3 linked regions of the Lonchura striata genome follow. The protein of the gene in region 2 purifies or fractionates together with the protein of the main gene of each other region. This does not show direct contact. Links are inferred from orthologs where the notes say so. Each region holds a gene or a part of one and is shown on either strand. Other genes may lie near its edges.

Region 1 (3,743 bases), on a different chromosome or scaffold from region 2:
GCGCGGCAGGTAGCTGCGGAAGGTGCGCGGCGGCAGGCGGGCGGCGGCGGGCAGGCGGCGGCGGGCCGGGGGCGGCATGGCCGGGGGCAGCGCCCCGGGGGGCACCGCGCAGCCCCCGCACAGCCGCTCGCAGGGGAAGCAGCGCAGCAGCGCGCCCAGAGCCGCCGTCCCGCCCGGCTGGGCTCGGGGAGCTCCGCCGGGGCCCCCCGGCAGAAGGAGGTGGAAAAGGGGGGCGGCCTGCGAAGGAGGAAGGGGGGCGGTGAGGGGGGACCCCCTCCTCAGCGTGCCAGGTGTGGGCGCTGCACGAACCGAGCTGGCTGAGAGCGGAGTGACACCGGGGCAGCGGGGACACCGGGGGGGGGGCACCGGGGACCCGAGGGACTGCGGGAGGAGGGGGCGTCCCAAACTGGGTCTAGGGTCTCTTCTCGAAGCGTGGGGGTCCCCGGGGAGATGATGGGGGTCCTGAGGGGGAAAACTGCGGGTACCGAGCGGGGAGAATGGATGATGGGAGTCCCGACGGGAGATGATGGGGGTCCTCACGGGGTCGGTTGTGGGTCCCGGGAGGGATGGCGAGGGTCCCCGGGGGGCGGGAGGGTGCTGGGGAGATACTTGCGGTGGCGGTGAAGAAGGACGGGGATATCGCCGTGGGGAGGGGGCAATGTCAGGAGCGCTGGGGACACGACGGGGGGCTCGGCGGGGCTCCGGGGGTCTCGGGGGGACACGATGGGGGGTACCGGGTTCCGTGGCTTCCCGGGGGCCGGGGCCGCTCACCGCCCGGCGCTCTCCCCGCTCTCCCCGCTGCCGCTGTCCCCGGGGCGGGCGCGGGGGGGCCCTGCGTGCCCGGGAGCCGCATCACGGCACCGTGACTCATCCCGCGGCCGTGACGTCACCGCCCGCCACCGCCGCCGTGACGTCACCGCCCGGCCCTCCGACGTCAGCCCGGCCGCGGCCGCCGGGGCGCCTCCCGCTGCCTCCTGTCGCCCCGCGTCCCCGTGTGCTGCCTCGTCCCCAGTGTCCCTCCGTGTGCCCCTGTCCCCTCATGTCCCCGTGTCCCCGCCGTGAGATGTATATGGGGGGGGGCGGGTGTGCGCGTTAATGTCGTGCGAACGTCATGTAAACGATCCTGGGACTCATCCCGAGGGATGAAGGGGGGAGAGGGAGAGCCCCACTGTAATGAGATGCAAACTCGAGGAGGGGCCGCGGGCTATATGCAAATGAGATGCAAACTAGCCGCAGAACGGGCAGGACGTGCCCCCTCCCCCACGTGACCCCGGCGCCCCACGTGATCCAGGCAGCCCGCGCTCCCGGCGCGCCGCTCTGACGTCACTTCCGTCGCGGCGGCGGCTGCGGCCGGGGGACGCCAGGCCCGGGACCCCCGCGTCGCCGTCATGGCGGACGATGGCGGCGAGGAGAAGAAGCAGGTGGCCAAGTTCGAGCTGGAGCGGGAGACGGAGCTGCGGTTCGAGGTGGAGGCGGGGCAGACGGTGCAGCTGGAGCTGCTGACCGGCATGGCCGAGGTGTTCGGCACCGAGCTCACCCGCAACAAGAAGTTCACGTTCGACGCGGGCGCCAAGGTGGCCGTGTTCACGTGGCACGGCTGCACCGTGCAGCTCAGCGGCCGCACCGAGGTGGCCTACGTGTCGCGGGATACGCCGATGCTGCTGTACCTGAACACGCACACGGCGCTGGAGCAGATGCGGCGCCAGGCCGAGCGGGAGGACGAGCGCGGGCCCCGCGTCATGGTGGTGGGGCCCACCGACGTGGGCAAGACCACCGTGTGCCGCCTGCTGCTCAACTATGCCGTGCGCCTGGGCCGCCGGCCCACCTTCGTGGAGCTGGACGTGGGGCAGGGCTCGGTGTCCATCCCCGGCACCATGGGCGCGCTGTACATCGAGCGCCCGGCCGACGTGGAGGAGGGCTTCTCCCTGCAGGCCCCGCTCGTCTACCACTTCGGCTCCACCACGCCCGGCACCAACATCAAGCTCTACAACAAGGTGAGCACGGCGGGCTCGGCCTGGCTTGGGCACGGCCCCGGAACTCCCCGGGGTTTCCCTGTGCTGCGGGGCGTCTGAATGCCCGGGGTGCTGTGTGGGGACAGCAGAATGCCTTTTAAAAACAGCCAGCCACCCCTTCCCAGCTGTCGGGTCAGGGTGGGGAGGGAGTCCAGAGGAGGACACGAAGGTGATGAAGGGAGCTGGTGCACTTCCTCTGTGGAGACGGGCTGCGGCAGTTCAGCCTGGAGGAGGACAGTTTGTGCCCTGACTTCAGAGCAGTCTTTCCATCCTGGGAGCCTGCAGGGAAGCCGGAGAGGGATTCTTGTCAGGATCTGGAGTGGTACGATGGGGTGGAATGGGTTCACAGCGAGAGGAGACATTTAGTCTGGATATGAGAAGAAATTATTTTACTGTGAGGATGGTGAGGCCCTTCAGGGTTGCCTAGAGAGGCTGCGGCTGCCCCAGCCCTGGAAGTGCCCAAGGCCAGGCTGGATGGGGCTGGGAGGAACCTGGTCTGGTGGAAGGTGTCTCTGCCATAGGGAACTGGATGGGCTTTAAGATCCATTCCAAGCTAGACCATCCTACAATTCCACCATTTTGCTCTGGATGGCTGTGCGGAATTGAGGCCTTGAGGGTCCTGAAGGAGCTGGGGACAGCGTGGGGACACGGGTGCCTCTGTGTGACCCCTCCTCCTCCCACAGATCACGTCGTGCCTGGCCGACGTCTTCAACCAGCGCTGCGAGGTGAACCGGCGGGCGTCGGTGAGCGGCTGTGTCATCAACACCTGCGGCTGGGTCAAGAGCTCGGGCTACCAGGCGCTGGTGCACGCCGCCTCCGCCTTCGAGGTGGACGTGGTGGTGGTGCTGGACCAGGAGCGCCTCTACAACGAGCTCAAGCGGGACCTGCCCCACTTTGTGCGCACCGTGCTGCTGCCCAAGTCCGGCGGCGTGGTGGAGCGCTCCAAGGACTTCCGCCGGGAATGCCGGGACGAGCGCATCCGCGAGTACTTCTACGGTTTCCGCGGCTGCTTCTACCCGCACGCCTTCGACGTCAAGTTCTCCGACGTCAAGATCTACAAGGTGGGCGCGCCCACCATCCCGGACTCGTGCCTGCCGCTGGGAATGTCGCAGGAGGACAACCAGCTGAAGCTGGTGCCGGTGACGCCGGGGAGGGACATGGTGCACCACCTGCTGAGCGTCAGCACCGCCGACAGCCCCGACGACAACATCTCCGAGACCAGCGTGGCCGGCTTCATCGTGGTCACCGGTGTGGACCTGGAGCGCCAGGTCTTCACCGTGCTGTCCCCGGCTCCGCGCCCCCTCCCCAAGAACTTCCTGCTCATCATGGACATTCGCTTCATGGACCTCAAGTAGGGGAGGGACGGGATGTGCCCCCCGCCTCCTCCTTCTCCTTCTCCTCCTCTTCCTCCCTGAGCCCCCTCCTTGTCCCCCCAGCGCGGTGTGACCCTTTGGTTTTATACTTTTTGTACAGTTTGCTATTAAATCTGGAAGCCTTTGCCGCTGGTGAGCGTCTGCTGAGGGAGGGGTTCCCGAGGGGAGCGGGGATTGCCGGCCCGGGCTCCCCGCGCGCCGGGCCCGGTCCCGGCCGCCCCCTACGGCGCCCACTGTGGTACGTCCCGCGCACGCGCAGAGGCTCCGGCCGTGGCCCCGCCCACCGCGGCGTGAACGCGCACGCCCGCTCCTCTGCCATGCGCATGCGCGCCGCCGCGGCCGGGGCGGGCCGGCGGGA
Region 2 (3,743 bases):
AGTTTCTGCTTGACCTCCAAGAACCACTTCCAGACAGGCCAAGGCAGAGACTGATGCAAAGCTGAGGTCTCCTTAATGTTCCAAGCTGCCTGTGTGTCTGCAGAACCCAAAATAACTCTGCTTACGGGCTGAGAGGCTGCTTTCCTCTGATATTCCTCTATTTGCTCCTCCTTCCCCTCTTGACCAAGCCATCACCAGCCTGTAAAATGTTGCTGTGCTCCATTTTCTGTCAGTGGGAAGCCGAGACAAGCGCTGAGCACACCTCACCTGTCGTGGCTGATCAGGATGTGTGCAGGCACTGGCACCATCACCTGGAGCCCCTCCTGCTCTCTGGCCCGGGCATGCAAACACACCAGCTGCAGCTCTGCCACGCCCACCGGCTGCACCTCATGCCAGTTCCTCCCTGGAAAGGTCCGTTGGGGATGAGAGGGGCAGAACACAAAACACACGTTTTAATCAGTCAAATAACAAATGCAGTATCTAAGTTAACATCTAAGGTTTTGTTTTCCCTCCCTTTCTTCACAGAAAACTCCATTCATCTGCCAAACTCCCCTCCTGAGAAGCAATCCTGCTAAAGAAACCCAAGGAGCAGGAGCAGCCTGCTGGCTCCAGAGCTGCACTGATGGGTGGTGAAGTGAGCTGTCTGACAAAACTGCTCTGCAAAAGGCAAAAAGAAGATAAAACCACACAGCTTTAGTCATCTGACTCAGCACCCTGATCTGTGAAGCAGCAGGTGCTAAAAGCATGGTTAATGATCATACACAGTTCTCACCTCCTGCTGAAGGGATAAGGATGAAGCTTTTGCTGCTCAACTACAAAAATCTTCTTTTAAAGTCTATTAAGGCACTTCCTTCAGAGTTGTAACAGCAACAGACGCAGTAATTTCTGGACTGTAAAATCCCTCCCATCCCTGACCTTGAGAAACACCAGTCTCCAAGCAAAACTGAAATATTTTTCTTAGGCTGGCTGGCTGCCTACTCACAGCCCCTTTTCAATAAAGCCAACTTGGAAGAAGCCAGGCAGAAGTTTATATATCACATAACCCTGCTCCACTGTGAGCAGACACCAGCAGACTACACTGGATTTCACAGGACCATTTTGGCCAGAAAAGCTTTCCAAGATCATGGAGTCCCACCAGTGACCTGACACTGCCAGATCCTCCACCAAGCCATGGCCCTGAGCACAACACCTACAATTTATTGTATAAATTACTATATTGTTACACAATTACTACAATGGTTATTAGTTACTGCGACCACACTTGCAAATGATCTTTTTTGCTAGAGGAACCACTGCCCTTTCCAGAAAACAGGCCAGCACACAGCAGCCATGTGCTAAATGGTGACTTTAGTGAAACACAGTGATTGAGGAACTTCACTTTAATCTACAAGTGAGGACTATTAAAAGCTCAACCAGTGAATTTGCCACTTCACCTTCCTACATTCCTTTCCTCCCCCTACTCCTCTTTTGCTTTTCTTTCCATGCTGACTGCCTTTTCCCTGACCCTGCACCTGGAAGTGCTGGATGAAAGGGGCCCTCACCTTTGCACAGGCTCCAGGGAGGCAGAGGACAGAAACCTGAAGCACAAAAGGTCTCAAAAGTGGCACCAAGGACTTTGGAAGGAGAGGTCCTGTCCCAGTGCAAACAATGAATTTAACAGCTCCTAAGGGCATTGGGATCCAGTCACTGCCCCCACTTACCTTCCAAGAGGTCCAGGTATACCAAAAAGGCAGCGTAGACTTGAGTGCTGTCAGATACATCGAGTGACATCATTTCTGTGAACTGAGACCCAAAGAGGAATGTTGGTGATAAAAAAAGTAAGCAGAATAAACAAACACAAGAGGAGTCACCACTATTTCTGGAACAGCTCTAGCTTTGTAGAATTTTACCCATGTTGGGTAAATAATTCTACCCATTTCTGCTGCAACACATCAACATAAGATGATGGCCAAATTAAACACCTCCATGTTTTCGGTGTGGTAAAAAATGGAGTCGAAGTTTAAGGTATTTACATTTCCCAGCTGGGATCCCATGGTTTATAACCTCCGCCCCTGCTGGCAGTAGCATTCCCCAAATACTCCACCGGCCGAGCCCCCCTCGACAAACCCAATATAACAGATTATATGGGCATCTCCCCGCAGGGCCCTCCTGGGGAGAGCACCTCGAGAGCCGCGAGGGGAGAATCCTGCAGGGCCGGGCGGGGGAGCGGCACCCCCGAGGGACCCCGCGCCGGCCTACCGTGGGGTGAGCCGTGATCCAATTGCCGCCAGCCGCCCCCGACCAGCTGCCCTGTGCCCCCGGGCCCCTCCCGGCGGCGGAGGAGCCCTGGCCCGGATCGGTGCCCCCCGGGGCCGGGCAAACGCCGCTCCCGCCCGGCCCGGCCGCCGCCGCCATGCTCGCCCGCCCGTGTGCACCGCGGCTTCACTCCGGGCGGCGCCGCGCAGCTGCGCTCCCCGGAAACCGCCGCGCCGCCCCGACCGTTCCGCCTCCGCTCCGTTCCCACCTCCCCGCCCCGCCACCCGCCGCGGCCAAAGGCGCCGCTTTGAACCCTTCAAATTAAACATATGTATATAATATGTGTGTGTATAGACACATATATTCCTTTCAAGGTCCCTTCTCCCAAAAGCTCCAAAGCATTACCAACCTGCAATGTCCAGAGCTTTGCTAGACTGCATAAGGGACATGCCTTCAAGGTATTGCCATTAAAAGCACTTTGGACTGCTTTACTAGAAATATCTCTGACTTTGCCTAATGCCAAGTGTCCCAGCTCTGGCTTATCATCACCATCTGCCTCGGTGACTCTTCTGATAAATTTTAAACAGTGGCTATTCTCTGTGAGAACCCCGGCCTTGCTTTAGGGCCACATGTGGTGGTGAAATTCCTCCTCCAACCCGTGCTTCCAAAGAAAAACTCCGCAGGCTTTAGCTGTTCGGTCTCAAGGCAGTTTATTGCTAGTTATCTAACAGATTATGTTCTTGGACTGCGGCTATTTGATCAGCGGCCTGGGTAGAGGCACACACACACCCTGACATCCTCTCTATCTGCTGTCTTCTTCATCTCTCTCTCCGCCCAGGGTTGCTGCTATCTTTTATAAGATATATTACGTATAACATGTTTACAATTATTCCCCAATACCTACTACCTACGTTACCAAGTGTTTTTCTACTCTAAACCAATCTGTGAGTGCCAACATCACCAAGAACATGGAGGTAAGGAAGAAGAAGGAAGAAGGATGGGTTCAGCCCACTTTCCTCCATCTTAGAACTTCTGACCCCCATGTACAAAGTGAAAACCCCCCTGTACATGTGTTAAAACCCCCCTGTACAGTACTAAAAAAAATTCCCCTCTACTTTGTAACTACTTTTACTATACTATCTAACCCTTTGTGACTGCTTGTTCCACCTCCAAAGTTGGTAATTCATTCCATGGCTCAAACTCAAAATCACAGTTGTTTTTCAGTTGTCTGCCAGGGTCTAGAATGCTTCTGACCAAGGCCTGGAACCTCTAAAAATGTCTGAGAGACATTTTGAGTTCCCACAATTCTCTAATAAAGCATCAGTGAAAATTGGTCCATATGTATGTAACACATCAATTGTACGTGGTTTGCAGGCACAGGAAGTCATATTTGGGCCAATCTAATTCAAGGAATTTTGTGGTAAAAGGAGCAGCCATTCTGGCTGCTTAAAAAGTATGGTGTTAGCCAGCACTTCAGTTCCCTGGGCACAGAATAGATAGCTAGATGG
Region 3 (3,743 bases), on a different chromosome or scaffold from region 2:
CAGCTGGGAGCAAAATGCCCAGCTGCTAAAATAACCACTGCTTGGAGAGATAAATTAACTTTGATGATCTGAGTGATTCAGGATACAGCCCAACAACAAAAGCACTTATGACCAGCACAACTGAGAACTGGAGCAGAGGAATGAATGGCAGTTTCAGGTGGCATCAATTGGTGCCTCCTCAGAAGTATTTACTTCCTTTACAGACACAGAGATCCCATAGATAACTTTCCCAGGGAATAGCAAATGACCTCCAGGAGGCTGTTTTATGCTACACCTCTTTTTCCTCCTTTTTATATTTTTAAACGGTGTTTACTCATAAAGAAAACAAAACCCTAGAAACCTTTTCCATGCCATAGGCTGAAGGTATCTCACTGACCTTTTCTGCTTTTGGGGGCATTTTGTACTCAGCATCTGACTGATTTTTATTGCCATCAATTTGTTTACAAACTATTTATCAGAATGCCTGGGGTAAAAAAGCCCCATCTTTGCTGCCAAGATTTAAGAGATGGCATCAGACACTCACAATCTGTTTTGCTAAGGGATAAAAGTTCCCTTTAGATCAATGCACCAATTCTGGAAAGACCAAAAAAACCCCTCTCTACAGCAAAGAAATCCAGCTGAGCCTTATGCTGCATTTCTGCAAGCAGAGGAGCACTGAACACAATGTGGTCTCACTAGTCTGTCTGCCACAATTAAATTTATTTCTGCCATACATACTGGGAAGAAATCCCAATCAGCAGCCCCAAAGGTCTCTGCTTAAGATCAATGAGCTGGCCACAGATCCAACTAACACACTCGGTCAGTGACACAGGGGCTGCCTCAGAGTACGGAACCCATAGCCTGGTGACAAACAGGTCCATCAGCAACACACTAAAAGAGACAATTCCTTGTGAACCAGGTGTTATGCCTCATCCTACTTACACACTCCAGCAGGTACAGAGCTTCCTCGGGCAGCAGACATTGTTTGCCTCGTTCCGAGAACCCCATGGTGTGCCAGAACTTTCCCTGGAACAGGAGCACAAATCCCTGATGGGTTCTGGCTGTTCCCTAATGACAGCCAGGCTCCCTCCCTTTGCAAGAAGCAAATTAAAGAATCTGTGAGGCAGCAGGAGATGATGGCACTGAGCACACTCTGTAGCACTCACCGCAGGGGACTTCAGCTCCACAATGCCCTGCTCCGGTTTCCACTCAGCCTTCACCAGATTCCCCCTGAGAAGAATAAAGATTAGTTTGTTAACCCTGAGAAGGTTAAAGACTGAGGTTTGTTAACCCTGAGTAGGTTAAAGATTAGTTTGTTACTGTTAGTGTGGTCTACAGTCAGCTGCTGGTGTAGCAACACAAAACAAGCTCAGGAAGGTGTCAAAAAGGCAGGTTTCCAGGTGGCATTTTTACAAGGCTTTAGAAAGCCATCATCCTCTGGGTCTAGCAGCACACTTTATCATCACCAGCCAGTTAAAAGTGTCTTCAGTCAGCACCACAGAGACATGTCCACAGGCTACAGCAGCTTGCTGGAGATGCACAGCCTAAGCCAGGATATGTGGATATTGAGGAACTAACACAGGTTGCCCAGAGCAGCTGTGGCTGCCACATTGCTGTAAGTGTTCACAGCCAGGTTGGATGGGGCTCTGAGCAGTGGAAAGTGTCCTTGCCTATAGCAGGGAGTCCAATGGGGTGATCTTTAAGGTCCTTTCCAACCCAAACCATTCTGCGATTCTGTGTCATACAATTACTCGGTTGCTGCCAAGACATCCTCAAATCACTGTACCCCACCCATGGGAACTCACAGGGAAAAGTTAATAGTTGCAGGCCAAGCAGAGAAGGTGTACATTGAGAGGTGTGAATGTCTCCCAAGTGATAAGCACCAAAGTCTGGCAGCACTGTTGAACCCACCAAAACTGATAAACCAGGGACACTGACACCTGGTCAAATCTGCACAAGGCCACACAGGAGCATCAACAAGACACTCTGTAACTTGGATCATGCCCAAGGCGGCAGTGGCTCATACCTGCAAAGGTTACAGGATTATAGACGCACCTATAAAAACCAAGAGCCCTGTGAGGGACTTTCTGAAGCCACAGGTGTGCCACCATGTCCCTGCGCTCCTTCGGGGGCAGCCAGGCTGGTCGCACGGGCACTGAGTGGAGGAGAGCTGCGGGCGGCTTTACTGCGCTGACCAACACCTCCTGCTACCACATCTCGCTCCCACCCGTGACCCCGAGCTGCGCTCTGCCCGCACGGGGCAAAGCCATTCCCAGCTCCCAGGGATGGACTTACGGCCGCTCCGGGCGCTCCTCGCAGAGCAGCCGCCACTGCTCCTCGCAGCAGCGCCGCAGCCTCTCGGCCTGCCGGGCCGAGCCGTCGGGGAGCGAATCCTTCTGCCCGCGGGGGCTCCGCGGGGCCTGGCGAGCCTCGGGCTGCTCCGCCGTGCTGCGGGCGACAGCGGCGTGCTGAGGGGCGGCAGAGCGGACCGCGGCTCCCCCGGTACCGCCCTGGCGCCCGCATGGGTTCCGGTACTGCCTCCCCCATCCGCGATGCGCGGGCTCCCCGGGTGCTCCCGCGCCCTCCCGCAGCTCCGGTTCCCCGCCCCGCTTTCCCCTCCCGCCCGCCCCACCTGAGGCGGCGGGCCCCGCCGGCCTCCATGGGCACGCGCCGGGCCAGCGTCCTTCCGCCGCCGCGCGCGAGCGCCGCCCGGCGGGGCCGCGCCGCTAGCGCGCCCCCTGGCGGCCCGGAGGACCGGGCACCGGCAGGGAGCGGGGGGAAAAACAAACAGCTAAATTATTGCTAATTAATATTAGGTCCAGACTCGGATATCTGCTCTGTCCGCGGTTTCTGGGGAGAAGTGCAGCACCTGGAACACCCGTCCTTCCCTTCTTTCCCCCAACCATGCTGTCACAGGACCTTCTATCACGTTTTCCCCCTCCTCACTGCATTTTGCCCTTTCTTAAATACATTTCCCCAAAGAAAAACATTCTTAATTAATAAATTCTTAGTAATTATAATATAAATAATTCTTAAATTCTCACCAATTCTTAAAATCTTATCAATTCAATAAATTCTTCAGTACATTTCCCTAGCATCACTGACAGGCTGTGCCCTGCCATGGGTGTTGGAAGCACATGGGACCAGCCAGACCAGTCTGGAAGTGGCTGTGTCCTGCCCACTGGGGCAGGAGGATTGTCCCTTCAGTGGTGTCACTATTTCTCCTGGCTCAGGCTCCAGCAGTGGCTGGTGCCTTTGCTGGAGTGTGCAGCGATCCAGCGGGGCCTCACACCTCTGCCAGCATGGCTGGACTGGCTGCCAGGGAAGGCATGGACAGATCTGATGGGGAAACGCACCAAAAGTTCAAGTTTCACCTCAAACCCGTCTCCTGTTGCTGTGGGATATCTCACAGGAGGCACTGAGCCTCAAGTAGGAAAAACACAGCTTTTCTCCCCACTAGAATCCCTGGTTCCAGCTATGGTTTCCCAATAAAAGCCCTTTGAAAAGATGCCAACAAAAGGAGATGAATGTAAAAACCATTCCCTTCCATTTTCCATTTTAAATCATTGCAAATATTTAATTTTCGCTTCCGGCCTCATTATTTCCTCTCCCTGAATTGAGCCTTCACCTTGTGAGGGGGTCAAGTGATTTTGGCCAGCAGTGCCTCTCCATGGCACACGAGGAGACAAGGACCCCCCACCGAAGTTGTCCCCACCTCAAACTTGTGCTGCCCTGATAGACCCAAGGGAGCCCTACAAACTGAC

Evidence for each region.
Region 1: the proteins of TSEN15 (region 2) and CLP1 purify together in Homo sapiens (affinity purification with mass spectrometry; 4 studies listed by BioGRID and IntAct, counting the BioPlex papers as one, with this or other methods). This does not show direct contact. The link is inferred for Lonchura striata from reciprocal best matches to the Homo sapiens genes TSEN15 and CLP1.
Region 3: the proteins of TSEN15 (region 2) and TSEN54 purify together in Homo sapiens (affinity purification with mass spectrometry; 4 studies listed by BioGRID and IntAct, counting the BioPlex papers as one, with this or other methods). This does not show direct contact. The link is inferred for Lonchura striata from reciprocal best matches to the Homo sapiens genes TSEN15 and TSEN54.

Annotation. Positions count from the first base shown.
Region 1 is NC_134608.1:53,134,753-53,138,495, reverse strand, and holds CLP1 (polyribonucleotide 5'-hydroxyl-kinase Clp1), read left to right. Parts: upstream 1-1,302; 5' UTR 1,303-1,388; coding exon 1,389-1,994; intron 1,995-2,695; coding exon 2,696-3,367; 3' UTR 3,368-3,509; downstream 3,510-3,743. UniProt on the Homo sapiens protein: Polynucleotide kinase that can phosphorylate the 5'-hydroxyl groups of double-stranded RNA (dsRNA), single-stranded RNA (ssRNA), double-stranded DNA (dsDNA) and double-stranded DNA:RNA hybrids. dsRNA is phosphorylated more efficiently than dsDNA, and the RNA component of a DNA:RNA hybrid is phosphorylated more efficiently than the DNA component.
Region 2 is NC_134611.1:27,829,137-27,832,879, reverse strand, and holds the start of TSEN15 (tRNA-splicing endonuclease subunit Sen15), read right to left. Parts: upstream 2,402-3,743; 5' UTR 2,395-2,401; coding exon 2,239-2,394; intron 1,783-2,238; coding exon 1,701-1,782; intron 404-1,700; coding exon 268-403; intron 1-267. UniProt on the Homo sapiens protein: Non-catalytic subunit of the tRNA-splicing endonuclease complex, a complex responsible for identification and cleavage of the splice sites in pre-tRNA. It cleaves pre-tRNA at the 5' and 3' splice sites to release the intron.
Region 3 is NC_134621.1:4,689,565-4,693,307, forward strand, and holds the start of TSEN54 (tRNA-splicing endonuclease subunit Sen54), read right to left. Parts: upstream 2,657-3,743; 5' UTR 2,641-2,656; coding exon 2,612-2,640; intron 2,428-2,611; coding exon 2,275-2,427; intron 1,210-2,274; coding exon 1,146-1,209; intron 1,006-1,145; coding exon 922-1,005; intron 1-921.